Elephas maximus indicus: one gene and its partner. The protein of the gene in region 2 interacts with the protein of the main gene of each other region in a pairwise test. Links are inferred from orthologs where the notes say so. Each region holds a gene or a part of one and is shown on either strand. Other genes may lie near its edges.

Region 1 (7,308 bases), about 46 Mb from region 2:
GAAGTTTGGTCTGCCCCTTTGAGACTTTTGCCCCTCTAGTTCTCACCTTAGAATTCATTCTCCCAAGAGTGCCGTTACCACCGCCTTACCTCTTCTCGCCTCTTCTGCCAGCGACCACAAGGTGACTCTTCCAAGATCTCAGACTCATCTTCACTTTCTTCTTCCTCCTCTGGGGAGGCAGCTGAAGTTGTGGAGGTCACGGGAGGTGACACTGACGTCAGGCCAGGAGCTGAGGATGAGGATTCTACCTTTGCATCTGAGCCACTGCTGAGTACCGTCTGGGACTCCCCCTCCGACATGCTGGAAGGAACACTCAGTCCTGCACTGGTTGGGCAAGGAGGGAAGGGGAAGGTAGAAGGTATCAAGACAGATCTATAAAAATAATCCTAATAACCTTATTTGAAAGAAAATTAAAAAAAAAAACCTCCTTTGTTTCCAAAATGAGAATTAATGCTGCTTGAATATTCAAACATTAACTATTCTCCTAAGACTAGTCTAGAGAAGAGGAGGAAGTATAACCCCACCTAGTAAGATCCAAGTAAACAGCAAAAATATTCATCCAATAGCCTTTCCTTTCAGAGCACCCAAGTTCAGAACAGATGAGTGTGAACTCTAAAATGTTCTACTGATCTAACACTTAGGCTGACTTTATCCAGCTGAAACTCTTAGTTGATTTACCCAGCTAGAACTAAACTTGGCATTCACTATCCATCCTCCTAGACACAGAACAAGCCTACCAATCCATGGTGAGGCTATCCTTGGTCCAAGTGACTGGCAGAGGTTAGTGACCTCACCCCTAATGACCTTAAAAATGTGAGTGTGGCTAATGAGTACTGGTTAGCAACATTTTTTTTTCATTCATTCATGCAACAAATGTTTATTAAGCACTTATCATGGGCCAAGCACTGGGCTATCTGCTTGAGATATAATAGTGAACAAAATAAATGAGATCCCCCGAACGCATGTAGTCACAAATTCAAAGCAGTTCTAAGACTTTGTTTCCAGTTTCCATTTCATTCACATGGCTTAAACATTCCTAAGTTTCCATGCTTTGGGGCATTGAATCTGACAAATAACTTAAGATACAGCCTTTGTAAAAGAAAGTACTGTATAGTATAAAATTTCTCAGAACATGGCTGAGAAAAAGAACTCTTAGAAAAGAATTCTAAGAAAAAGAATCCTTAAAAGCGAAATGTCACTAACTTCCAGAAAGTCAAAAGACAGTCACTGAATGTTATTCCCTATCTCTAAGAACAAAGGCTGTGAAGGAGTTGGAACCTGTGTGTGCTGGGTCAAGGCAATGCTCTTTAGTATAAAACTGATATTCTGAAAAGTAAATTTGCTCCTCTTAGTTCAGAATGCCAGGAGCCTCCAAGCAACACCAATATTTTGAAAAGTCCACATTTCTTTTTTAGAACTCTGTGATGCCCACTTCTGCCCACCCATACCCCCAACTCACACTATATTCAACCCAAGTCCAGAAATTTCTATTAGATGAAATTCTAGTAAACACCAAGAAGCAACAAGGCAGTACAGAGAAAATCTGGTAAGATACTCTTTCTCCATGTTATTTTCTAAGTCCTGGCTTCCCAAAGAGATTTCACTCAGCCAAGCCGCGAAACCACGCCTTAATAATCTACCAGAGATCATTCTCCTTCTTCCCATGAAAAGTAGCTAAGAAAATGGATAAGAAAGTTTGTATCGGTTAATTTCTAGAGCAACTATAATCAATGAATGCATCTGGTATGTGGAACAGCTAAGAAAAATTTCCAGCTAGATTATAATAGGAAATATCAGTGGAATTCAGGAGCCCAGGTGTCGCAGTGGTTAAAGTGCTGGGCCGCTAACCAAGAGTCCACGCTTCAAACCCACCAGGGCACAAACAACTACTAATCGACAGTAGGGCACCACAAGAGAAGAGGAGCTTTCATCAAAGAGATGCCCTTAAAATGTGCTTGTCCCTTCCCTCCCCAGTCTTTTCCCAGTAGCGGTTAAGAGCTTGGCTGCTAACCAAAAGGTTGGCAGTTCGAATCCACCAACCGCTCCTTGGAAACCCTATGGGGCAGCTCTACTTGGTTCTCCAGGGTCACTAAGAGTCGGAATCCACTCAACTGCAACGGGTTTGTTTTTTTGTTAGTGTTTGGCCTGTGACAGGCACTCGAATGAATGTCTGTTGAATTTACGCCCATAGGGGAATCTCCTCGCTGCCTCCAGTCACCTCAAGATGCACAGTATGTTCACTTCTGAGCAGTGTAGGTCGTCCCGCTAAGTTTTTCTCAGAGACTTTCATTTACTGAACTGTCGCCCCTCTGTGTTTCAACTCCTCAGCAACAGCTCGCAGGCCCGGGCCTCTCCTGAGCTGACCAAAAAGGTCCGAGACCCGCAAAACTGTCCAGTCAGAAATAAAGCAAGCTCTAGAGAAGAAGAGGCCCTCCGAATTTCGCATTCCAACAGGTCGCCCTGCCCGGTGTCTGGAACAGCGCGGCCCGCAGGCCCCAAAGTGCGCTGCGGCCACCTCATCAAAGGCCAGCGGGCTGGCGGGCGGCGCCGTCAGGGCGGAGGCCACGCCCCCGCGCAGCCAGCGCGCCGGCCGCAGCGCTTCCGCAGGCCGCCGGGCCCGCACCGCCCGCCCGCCCCGCCCCCGCCCGTCGGCCCCGCCCTCGTCAGCCAGAGTTCGAAGCGAACGTCAGGGCCCTCCCGACCCGCGCGGGCGGAATTCCGGGCCGCCTCCACTCCGAGGAGGTTGAGGAGGGCCAGGCAGGGACTGTGGGGCAGAGGCGGCCCCCGGGCTCAGGCGGGCCGGCCCGGGCTTCCGAGTGAGCAAGGCCGCCTTCAGGCACCCGCCTGCCGGGGTCCAACGCCCTGGGGCTCGGAAGCCGATCCTTTCGTCCCCTTGCCGACCTCCCACCCGATTCCCTCGTTCCCTTCTGCGCTCACCTCCGGACACCGCTCCCCGCAGCCTGCGCTTCAGCTCCAGCTCGGGTTCCGGGGCCCCGGATCAGAGAGACTCCCTCACAGCTGCGCTCCACAGCGCAACCGAACTACGGGCCCCGCCCTCGCGGCGTCCTGACCAACAGATGGGCGGTGCCGCACTGCCTTAGGTTTCCATTGGACAAGACGGCTGAGTGGGCGGTGCCCAGTTTAGAGGGTCAGTGGGAGGGAGTCTTCAACCGGGCCTCTTCCCCTTGAGCCGGTCTGGCGGGGGCCGCTCGGGGAGTTCGGCCTTTTCCATTCCACCTGGGGACCTCTTCTCTGTCCACCCCTGTACCCAGTCCAGGAACCCCCGGTGATTCTGCTAGACAAAGATCTCCCCTGTCTTCTTGAAGGCGCCATGACAGTTCTAATCCGACCAAAAGACAAAAGGAGCGAAAGTCTGAGAGGAGCGTCCACCCACTTTATTTAGGGATGAGGCAGTGGCCAGGACACCAATTCCTCAGAAAGCTTTAGGAAAAAAAAAAAAATCACTACGCTTTGTGATTGCATAGTACTGTTATTTGCCAAAACTTTGCAAGAGCATTTCATAAATGTTATTTGATGATTTTCAGAAGAACTCATTGAAATTTTATCATTGATAGTCGACAAATACAAAAATAAAAACTGAATAAAAGGCACTAAACTATCCAAAGTTAGGTTGATGACAGCCAAAACCAGAATCTGAAATAAGATTCACCGAAGAAGACCTCATTGAGAAGATATTTGGAGAACTTAGATTGGGTGAGGTGTAAAAAATGGATTTTGGGTGAACCCATTGATCCCAGAAAAGTATATGCAGAGCCTAAAGGATGGAAGTTCAATTTGCCATTAGACATATACACCGGAGGGGAGAAGATAAGCCAATCACCAGAATTTGGGAATGTCATAATCACCAAATTTCACTGTCCTAAAGAGAATCTAATCCTACTTCAGAGGAGCCCTGGTGGCTCAAATAGTTAAGCACTAGCCTGCTAACTAAAAGGTTGGCAGTTGGAACCCGCCCAGTGGTTCCAAAGGAGAAACACCTGGTCATCTTTACCTAGCGGCTAGTAGGAGAAACGCCTGGCTCTGGCAATCTGTTTCCGTCAAGATCAAAACCAAAAGGGGTAGTTCCAATCTGTCACATGGGGTCACTATGAGTCGTTATTGACTCGATGGCACCTAACAACAATCCTACTTCATCGAGAGGATAATCCTTTCCCAACCTGTGGGAAATATATTGCTCACTTACATAGTCTGCCTCTGAGGTTTCTTGGGAAACTTTTCTCGCAGTGTGTGCTGCTGCAAGGTGAGGACCTATATAATTGCTTGAAATGGAAGAAATGAGTGTGTGCCACAAATTACTCCTTTTACAGGGTATTGTATGAAGTGCTGAATCAATACTTTTGGTAGGTAAAAGATGGATTTTGATTTTAAAAAATTATTTGGAACACATATGTCCCTCTGGACACTGAGGGTAGGATTGGTGGGGTGAGGCAATAAAAAATTCATACTGCTGAAAAATTCAGACACACTCAATGATTCAGCATGCATTCCATTTAAAATTCAAAGCAGAAAATAATTAGGCCTTGAAAGGGATAACTTGCAGAAGCCATCTCATTTTCTTATCTCTTCACCTCAAAGTATTTATTTCTAAAACCAATCTTTCACCCTTCCTTAATTCTTTTATCTTTGAAAGAGAGGGCTCAAACACACTTTTTAGAAATCTGATGAAAGATATGGGCTGCCTTTTGGATTTTTTTTTTTTTTTTTTTAATGCACTTGCCCACTAAGTTTAGCATATAATTTCAGGGAGTTGAGATTAAGAATCTTTGTTCTAATCTCAAAGGAAAAGATGTACCTACCTCTTCCCAGCTTAACTTCTTCTCCCTGTGGGTTCTAACACAATTGAAATGCCTGGCCCATGGTAGGTATTTATTAAATGTCAGTTGATGTAATCATTATAGTTTCCCATTCTCTTCCATCTGGGACCTTAGAATTATCAACCTTTCCCTTTGAACTACCTTCTTCTTTCCAATATGCACAGAGGACCCTTTGGCATACTCATGCTTTCATCTTATTTTTAAACTTTCATTCACATTTAACATGCTCAGATAGAAGATGGCGGAATAGCCAGATGCTTCCTGCGTTCCATCTTACAACAAAGACCCGAAAAATCAAGTGAAACAATTATGACAAGCTAGGAGCCCTGAACATCAAAGGCAAGGTTAGAAAATGGACCAAGTGGCAGGTGGAGAGTGAGACCATTCAGAAGCAGACAGGAGTTGCCGGACCTGAATGTCTGAGATCCCTCAGGCACCATTCCTGGAAGTGGCTGTGGCGGGCTGGTTGTAGTGTTCTGCCGCAGTTTCCTCAGGGAGAAATAGCCAGCCGCACAGCCTACTCACACCTCTGGAACCAGAGAAAAATGGTGCTCTCGGCAAAATCTAAGTACTTGCGTATATTTTACAGCACCCCCCACCCCCAAGCTGGCTTCAGTGGCTGTTGATTTCCCTGGGCCTGAGATAGGCCCATTTGAACGCCCTGAGCCATGCTCCTGGACTTGGAGAAGGAATAAATTCACAACAGGGGGAAAAGATAATTTGCCAGCTCCACTAACCTGGGGAGCTCAGGACAGAAGCAGCTCATGTCCAAGCATAAATGGTCTGTGGACATTGAATACCTTTCCCCCCTGGATGGACCTGTGTGGGCCTATTCCAGAAGAATAGGCCCTTACTGGCAGATTGTGACTGTTTAACCTGTGCAGTGGAGAGGTGGATGTTTGTTATTTGACATGGCTTTGCCTATTAAACAGGGTCCTCACCTACAAACATCAGGGGCCTAAGGACTGGTGGCTCCTCTCAAGTCACCCAGCCACCCATGACAGGGGTCCATGGATAACTGGTACCTCCTAGTCCTTACAACCAAAAGCATTGGGTGCCCATGGTCCATCTGCAGAACCCACCCACCTGCACGCTCTAGGGAAGAGGGACATGCTCTCCTCAGAGACACTCGGGACACTTCTCAGCCCCCTGCCTTGTTCAGAGCATGACCCCCTGCTGCAACCAGATACTGGTACCTACACCGAACACCCCTGCCCCTCTAAGACTATAGGACAGAGCCTGTACCACACACTTGATGACCAGCTACCTGGACACCTGAGCTGAATTCACACAAGAAAAGTGAATGGACTCATAATCTCATATACCTGATAACAGCTCTAGCCATCTGGTGACAGGATGTCAGAGGTCCAAAGGCGAAAACAGTCAAGCTAGCTCACTCAAGCAAGCCATTTGGGCATAACAAAACAAAACAAAGCAAGAAACTAGGATACAGTAAGCAAACATAAAATAAACTAAAACAATAACTTATAGATGGCTTGGAGACAACAGTCAATATCAAACCACATAAAGAAACACACCATGATCACGTCAACAAGCTCTCAAAACAGAGAATCAAAGGATCTTCTGGATAAAGATGCCTTCCTGGAATTACCAGATGCAGAATTCAAAAGATTAATATACGGAACTATTCAAGACATAAGGAAGGAGATCAGGCAATACACAGAACAAGCCAAGGAACACACAGATAAAACAGTTGAAGAAATTAAAAAGGTTCTTCAAGAACATAATGAAAAATTTAATAAACTGCAAGAATCCATAGAGAGACACCAATTGGAAATTCAGAAGATTAACAATAAAATTACAAAATTAGACAACTCGATAGAAAGGCAGAGGAGCAGAATCAAGCAAGCAGAAGGCAGAATTGGGGACCTTGAAGGTAAAGGACTTGGCACCAATATACTTGAAGGAAAATCAGATAAAAGAATTTTAAAAAATGAAAAAAACATAAGAATAATGTGGGACTCTATCAAGAGAAATAACCTACAAGTGATTGGAGTACCAGAACAGGGAGGGATAACAGAAAATCAGAGAGAGTTGTTGAAGATTTGTTGGCAGAAAACTTCCCTGATATCGTGAAAGATGAGAAGATATCTATCCAAGATGCTCATCGAACTCCACATAATGTAGATTTTAAAAGAAAGTCACCAAGACATTAAAATCAAATTTGCCAAAACCAAAGATAGAGAATTTTAAGAGCAGCTAGGGATAAGCGAAAAGTCACCTGCAAAAGGACAGTCAATAAGAATAAGCTCGGACTACTCGGCAGAAACCATGCAGGCGAGAAGGCAATGGGACGACTTATATAAAGTTTTGAAGGAAAAAAACTGCCAGCCAACAATTATATATCCAACAAAATTGTCTCTCAAATATGAAGGTGAAATGAGGACATTTCCAGATAAACAGAAATTTAGGGATTTTGTAAAAACTAAACCAAAACTACAAGAAATACTAA
Region 2 (7,548 bases):
AACCCAAGGTGTTATTTTCTCCTCCAGGACAGAAGTATACAGCCCCCACATCCCTAGTTGCCCCCCCCCCAGGGACCCAGGCATCCTGGCCTCCCCCTGGTTTGTTCCTCTTTTGGAGACCGGAAGCAGAAAGAGCAGATGACTTAACTCTTTCTCAGCTGCTTTCCACCTTCTCCCAAGGAAGGTAGCACTCAATGGTGGCCACCCCCTGGAGAGACCTACGGAACTGGGGGTGGAGAAGGGAAACTAGCAAGCCCCCTATTCCTATAATGTGCCCCCGAACCCAATTCTTCAGGAAGAGAAACTTGACTTTATTCATAGATGAAAATGGGGCTCAGATGGGGGCTAGTGGAGAAGACAGAAGACCCCACATGCAGAATGGGGCTGCCATGGAGAAAACGGCTTACAGTGGAATGCTTACTTTTTGCTCCTATCCCCCAAAACCCTGGAAGCTCCTTCCTCAGAGGCCCAACTGCCCAGCCCTACTGGGGCCTCCACCCTCAACTCCTGGAGTTGGGGGGAAGGAGTGAGACCAAGATAAGGTGAAGGCCAAAGTGAGGAAGCCACAGAGAGGTGGAGAGGCTAGAACTGGACCACAGAGATGAGGGACAAAGGCAACAAATTAAAACCAAAGGGATAGAAAATGCAGAACACAGTGGAGGGGGAACCTGAGAGAAAACAAAGTGCGGTAAGGAGTAGGAATGGACCTCAAAGTGAGGTGGCAGGAAGAGAAAGGAGAGGCTACTGAGCAGATAGAGGATAATGGAGTGAGGACGGAAGGCAGTATGGAGGTGGAGGCAGGAGGCCCAGGATGGAAGTTAGGCCAAGACTGAGATGGATGAGCACTGCCCCCCAGGTGTCTCCTTCACCCTGGGACCTGCTCTTACCTGCCCTGTCTCCTCTGGAGCCACCAACTCCATCCTCAGCTGCAGGGCTCCATCATTCCTTCGGGACAGTGGAGGAGTCCCCGCTGCTGAATTCCTAGGCTCCACTTCCACCCTCAGGGAGGGCAGGGGGGTGGGGGCCCGGGATGTGCCCTCGCTATCCCGGGTCCCAGGCTCTGGGGGGCGCTGCTGGGGCGGGGAGGCCGACAGGGGGGATGTTTCCACCATTGCCTTGCCGGTTACCGCCATCTGGCCCAGCCCTCTGGTTAAGGAGCGGGCCTGAGGTCCGGGTGAGGTGGGGGGCGGGCGGAGCCAGGAGGTGGGGCCCTGAGACAGGCCTGGCTGTGGGGTGGGGGTGCCCAGGCCCAAGCTGGCCACCTCCAACCTGGAATCCAATGACCTGCCTCCAGTGCCCCCCGAGGCCCCTCGAATTCCCTCCAGTAGGCGGCCGAAGTTAGGGGGCTCCAGGTCTCTATCGTAAACATCCACACACGTCCACCGACCTCGGCGATAAGGCTCTCCCAGACCCTGGGGCAGCTTTACCACCCGGAAACGGGAAGCGGGGGCCCCAGGCGGTGGGGAGCCGTTCCGGGGGGTGCCCTTGCCCCCTGGCTCAGGGTTGGGCTCCCCGTTGGGCAGCCGGAGTGGGGGCCTGGTGGGGGCCGGTGGGGTAGGGGAGTCTGCACCCCCCGGGCTCCCTGGGCCCTCATAGTCCGTGGTGACGCTGGTGATTTGGAAACTACTCTTCTTCTTGCCCCCACTCATAGTCCCTGGGACTCAGGACTAGGCCGAGGTGGGCGGGGGCGGCTGGGGCTCCTCGCAGAGGCTCAGGCGCCCCTGGAACAGGGAGGCCACATGGCGGGGACATCAGAGCCCCTGGGGACATCTGGGTCCGACATGGCAGGAGGGTCTTGGGGAGCTGGGGGTGCCTGGTTGGTGAAGGGAGAACAGGGTAGGGAAGGGGGGGTGGAAAGGGCAGGTTTTTCCTGCTGCTGTCGCTATCGAACTCCACAGCTGAGTTTGCAAACTGGAAAGAGAGAGAGAGAGAGAGAGTGAGTGAGGGAGTGTATGTGCCTATATTGTGTGTGAGAGAGAGAAAGCAGTGGGCAGGCCACCTCTGGGGCTTCCTCTCTGGGGAGCATGATGTGGGGCGGGGGGGTGGGGAGGAAGGGGAAACCACCAGAGACCCAGAGACAAAGAGTCTGGCAGAGATGGCAGAGATCAGAGCGCGGAAGGCTGCGATCCCAGAGGGCGCACGGAGCAGGAAGAGGCAGACATGCCCCAAAGTTTGGCACTTCTTGCCTTGGATTACAATTCACAGGGCCCGAAAGTCCCTAAGGCAAGGGCTCCGTGGCCCAGGTGAACAGAGGTGAAGCAGCTCCTCGGCCTGGCCTCAAGACCCCATACCAGCTCCCACATCCAGGGGGCTGGGGCCGCCAAGCATGCCCTGCCCCCCACCCCTACCCCCGCCCCAGCGCCCCGCCCAGCCCAGAGTCCTACCTCTCAGGCCGAGCTGGGGGTCCTGGCTAAGGTGTCAGGCTGTCCTTCCCCTGGTGCCTCCGGCCCCCACAGCGCCGAGAGCAGGCGGCGATCACAGGCTGCCCAGTCCTCTTCGGGGGCCGCACCTCACCCCACAAGGCATCTCCGGGGAAAGTTTGCTCTCCAGAAAAGCAAGGAACCTCTAGGATGGAGCCTAGGCTCGGCCTCTGAAGCCCCAGGCGTCTCCCAACCAATTTGGGAGGGGGCGGCTCGCCCGCCGCTCTTCCAAATGGAAAGCCTCCCCCTGGGGCAGCTGGCGTCGGTGGTCTTGGCGAATGGCTGTCCCAAGTCTCCTCCCGCGTGGCAACGCTGGTTCTGTCTCTGCTCCTCAGCTCCTCTCGCTCTTGGTCTCTGTCTTTCCCCTTCTGGGCTGTTGACAACCCCCACACCAGGAAGTCCTGCCTCCTCGGGCCTGCTGACTGCTTCTCTCCTCCGCCTCCTTTCCCTCTTCCCCCTCCCTTCTTCCCTCCTTCCTGGGGCTCCCGGCCACTTGGCCGGGGGCCAGGCCTGCCACAGCCGCCACGGCTGTTGCAGTTGCTGCTGCTGATCTTGGGGCCCCAAACAGGCTCCCTTAACCCCACACCTGCTGGGCCCGAGCCCAGCTCTTCCTCGGAGGGAGGGGCTGTGGAGGGCGGAGAGAAAGGGGAGGAGTTTGCAGGGAGGCGAGGGATTCCCCTACTTGTAGGCAAGTGCGGGCATTGGCCTACAGACACACATAAGAGTCGGAAGGAATACACCAGGCACTGTATTGGGTGCCTGGTACCCCATAAAAAAAAAAAAAACTCATAAGTGCCTAGTAAAACTTATGATGCTGCTGTAGCTGTTACTAGTTGTAACTTTTTTGGTCTTCACAGTAACTGTATGAGGAAGGTACTATTAATCCCCGCCCCCCCTTGTTTTAAAAAGTATATTAAGGAAAATTGCAAACATGTACAAAAGTAGAGAACAGTATAATGAGCTCCCATCATTCTAGTTTAAGCAATTATCAACTCACAGCTAATTTTGTTTCGTGTCTACCCACCAATATCTTTTGTTGTATTTGGCTCGAGTATCTAAAATCAAATGCCAGACATCATATATCGCCCTTCTTAGATGTGGAAATTAAGACCCAGGAGGTTCAAAAAGGCTGTCAGTGGTAGAGCAGGGACACCACATACTCAGGTGTGTCCTCGGCTAGCCCCCAAATATAAAAACATGCACAGACACACAGATGCAGGTGCTGACTTGCACTTTCTCTCCAATTGCTGGACACACGTGTTTATACACACAGTCACCCACACAGATGCATCCCTGGCTGGTCAGAAGCATAGACTCCCTCCCCTACCGCTAATCCTTCCTACCTCTCTGAGGTGTAAAGAATGGCTTTTATATGGCCTTTCTAAGGGCACGGTTTTGTAAATCCCACAGAACGATTGGCTAGAACTATGCAAACTCAATGATTTATGGTCTACTGAGGTGATTGGCAGCTTGTGGTCCTGATGGGAGGGTCATTTGTTGAAATTGACATAGGCTCATATAAAGAGAGCCCTGGCAGCTGTTGGCTACTAACTGATAGGTCAGAGGTTTGAAGCCACCAGCTACTCCATGGGAGAAAAATGTGGTAGTCTGCTTCTGTGAAGGTTTACAGCCTTGGAAACACTATGGGGCAGTTCTTCTCTGTCCTGTAGGGTTGCTATGATTTGGAATCCACTGGATGGCAGTGGATTTGGTTTCTGGTTTAGGCTTATATAAGGGTCAATCCCACAGAGGTTCAAGAAGAATCTGGAGCACAGTACATCCTTTGAACCAAGGACCCAGGGTCCTTGCACCAAGAACCTCCTAGACCCAGAAGAAAGAACTGTAACACTGAAGACAGTGAGAGACAGGCAGTAGGCTTGCTGGCCCACTGAGCAATAGCTGAGCACCTTTGAGCAGGACGCCTGTCCGGGGAGCCAGAAGAACTGTAAAGCTTACTTGTGCAGGGCAAGAGAGGCCTGAGTATGCCCTGTACAAGGGCTACACACACTTCCCACCCCCCTTGAGCAGTGTGGCAGGAGCCACACAGGCCCTCAGACAGTGCAAGCCTGGGTGGTATGGTGAGAGCCAGTGGCAGAGACTTAGAAGGGCCCAATGGCCATCTGGGGTCTTAAACGCTAGCAAGCAGCCATCTAAGAAGCATCAATTGGTCTCAAGCCACCTGGATCAAAGGAGAATGAAGAACATCAAGGACACAGGTAATTGCGAGCCCAAGAGACAGAAAGCGCCACATGAACCAGAGACTACATCATCCTGAGACCAGAAGAACTAGATGGTGCCTGGCTACAACTGATGACTGCCCTGACAGGGAACACAACAGAGTACCCCTGAGGGAGCAGGAAAGCAGTGGGATGCTGACCCCAATTCTCATAAAAAGACCAGACTTAATGGTATGAGACTGGAAGGACCCCAGTGGTCATGGCCCCCAGAGCTTCTGTTGGCCCAGGACAGGAACCATTCCTGAAGCCAACTCTTCAGACGTGGATTGGACTGGACAATGGGTTGGAGAGGGATGCTGGTGAGGAGTGAGCTTCTTGGATCAGGTGGACACTTGAGACTATGTTGGCATCTCCTGCCTGGAGGGGAGATGAGAGGGTGGAGGGGGTTAGAAGCTGGCGAAATAGACATGAAAAGAGAGAGTGGAGGGAGAGAGCAGGCTGTCTCATTAAAAAAAAAAAAAAATTTTTTTTTTTTTTTTTGTCTCATGAGGGGGAGAGTAATTGGGAGTATGTAGCAAGGTGCATGTAAGTTTTTATGTGAGACTGACTTGATTTGTAAACTTTCACTTAAAGCACAATAAAAATCATTAAAAAAAAGAAGAAGAAGAAGGGCCCAGTGGCAGAGGCTTGGGAGATCCTGTGCAGGGGTCTTCCCACCAGAGAGGTAAGGCCCAGCAGCAGAGCAGAAGCCTCCGGCAGGGCAGTGTGGTGGTGGATGTAAAAACAGCGTCTGACTTGAACCACAGAGCGCCTGCCCAGCGACATAAGAATAAAAAAATGGATATGGGTAATTTGGGGAAGGGCAAGCATTTCCCCTTGGAGATTCTGTTGTTTTCGTTTGCATTCTGGAAACAATGGAGCCCTGATGGTGCAATGGTTAAGAGCTCAGTTGCCAACCAAAAGGATAGCAGTTGGAAACCCTCTGGGGCAGTTTTACTCTGTCCTATAGGGTTGCTATGAGTTGGAATCAATTCCACAGCAATGGATTTAAATGTCTTGTGGGTCTGGCTTGATCACAGATAAACACAGCACCCAAAGAATGGTTGATGCCAGTGGTTCTATGTGTCTCATTCCTAGCAGTCTTACAGCTGCCTGGAATTTTGAGGCACAACCTGTCTGCATGTGCAATGCAAATAGACAATGTATACACTCTCCTACCCCATCCATTAGTATTATGAAGGAGAATCCATACACACTTACTAAGGACCTACTATGTGCTTGGCATGAAGAAATAAACCTCCAACTGTCATCTTCTCTGTTTTTTTTTTTTTTTTAAACCACCCCCAACTAACATTCTGAAAGGGATTATTTTAACAAAAGCAGTTTCTAACGGCTAGGTCTACCTTCACTCCCAGGTTCAAAAGAAAATGGATTCTAATTCATTTCCATCAAAGGGAACTGGTCTCAAGTACATTAAAAATTCCTCACATTTGTCTACTTTGCATAAGTATCTCACTGGATTTTCAAAACAGCCCTGGGAGGAAAAAGGGTGGCTTTTGAGCTCCAGTGTTTCTGCTAAGGAAACTGAGGCTCAGAAACACTGGGTCATTTGCCCAAGGTCCCGGAGCTAGTATTTTATAACTAAGACTAGCACTGGGCTTTCTGACTCCCAGTTCAGGGCTCTTCCCACCATCCCTCTCTTTCCCACATCCCTCCTCCCTCGGCTTCATCTCATGGAAATTTCTAACCACTCTTTCAAACCAAAGAACCCACTGCCAAGCTTGGAGTTGATTCTGACTCATAGTGACCCCATAGGGTTTCCAAGCTGTAAATCTCTGTGGAAAGCACACTGCCACATCTTTCTCCCACCGAGCACCTGGTGGTTTCGAACCATCGACCTTTTTGGTTAGCAGTCAATTACTTTAACTACTGTGCCACCAGGGCTCCTTAACCACTCTTTAGGGTTGAGCAAAAAATAAAATACCACCCTCCTTTATATATTTATTCTTTGTTGATTAAAATGCATCTGGACCCCTGCCTCTCTTCCTTTAGCCATGATAACAACGCCTACAATCCTAAGCCTGGTCATGAGGCCTCCCAAGTGTGAAGTCCTGGAAGCAGCCTTCCATATGCCCCCCCCCCCAAGTCCCCACCTCTCCCCGATCTGGCAACACTCAAAACACAACCCTGCCTGCTCTGCCCTCGGCCCTCCTTTCTTCATCACTGACACTCCACGAATTATTTAAAACTTATTATTATTTTTTTAATCTTTGGACTCTCTGGCTCTGGGCATCAACCCTTTCCCACCCCTCAGGCAGTCAGTTTCTTGGACTCCACTCCATTTCTACAGACCCTAGGACACAGTAGGTCTCTGCTGAGAAGTTTGTTGAATAAATAAATATAAATTCATTCACACTAAAGTGTAAATGGGAAACGACTAATAACACTTTAATGTGTTACCTCTCCTGGGGGCATTTATAATAGCCCCTAAAGTGTGAAGCCCTTTTGTGTGAAGCCCTTTTGCAGCTATTATTCTAATGACCACCCTCTCATCTCAAATTCTATTAACTTAGGCAGCAGATAAGACACCTCAGAAAGGTTGCTCGATTTGCCCAAGGTCACATAGCCAGTTAATGCAAAAACCCGTCTTCTTGCAGTTAATTTACCCTAAGAGCCCTGCGCCAAAGGGCTTTCCGAGGAAGCAATTTCTCAGGGAGCTGACGAGAAAGGTGACTGAAAGGGAGGGGGCCGAAGTCGCGATCCTCAGTGGCCGCCGCCACCGCACCTGGGCCATGGCCGCGGTGGTCGAAGTCAGGATTCGGACCCTGGTGCGCTCAGGTCCTGGCGGAGGGCGCCGGCAGAGTCAAAGGTTATGGGGTGGATGACTTGGATTGCATGGGAGGACGGGTGGAAGACTTTGAGCCTAGGCGAAGAAACAAGGTCCCGGCGCC

What was found. The genes of interacting proteins can lie anywhere in the genome.
Region 1: the proteins of TSC22D4 (region 2) and NRBP1 interact in binary tests that used the Homo sapiens proteins (3 or more experiments, as listed by UniProt). The link is inferred for Elephas maximus indicus from reciprocal best matches to the Homo sapiens genes TSC22D4 and NRBP1.

Annotation. Positions count from the first base shown.
Region 1 is NC_064830.1:45,926,714-45,934,021, reverse strand, and holds the start of NRBP1 (nuclear receptor-binding protein), read right to left. Parts: upstream 3,055-7,308; 5' UTR 2,938-3,054; intron 325-2,937; exon of another isoform or gene 320-324; 5' UTR 300-319; coding exon 90-299; intron 1-89. UniProt on the Homo sapiens protein: Required for embryonic development. Plays a role in intestinal epithelial cell fate and proliferation, thereby involved in the architectural development of the intestine potentially via the regulation of Wnt-responsive genes.
Region 2 is NC_064830.1:91,887,565-91,895,112, forward strand, and holds the start of TSC22D4 (TSC22 domain family protein 4), read right to left. Parts: upstream 3,053-7,548; 5' UTR 2,385-3,052; intron 1,912-2,384; 5' UTR 1,650-1,911; coding exon 888-1,649; intron 1-887.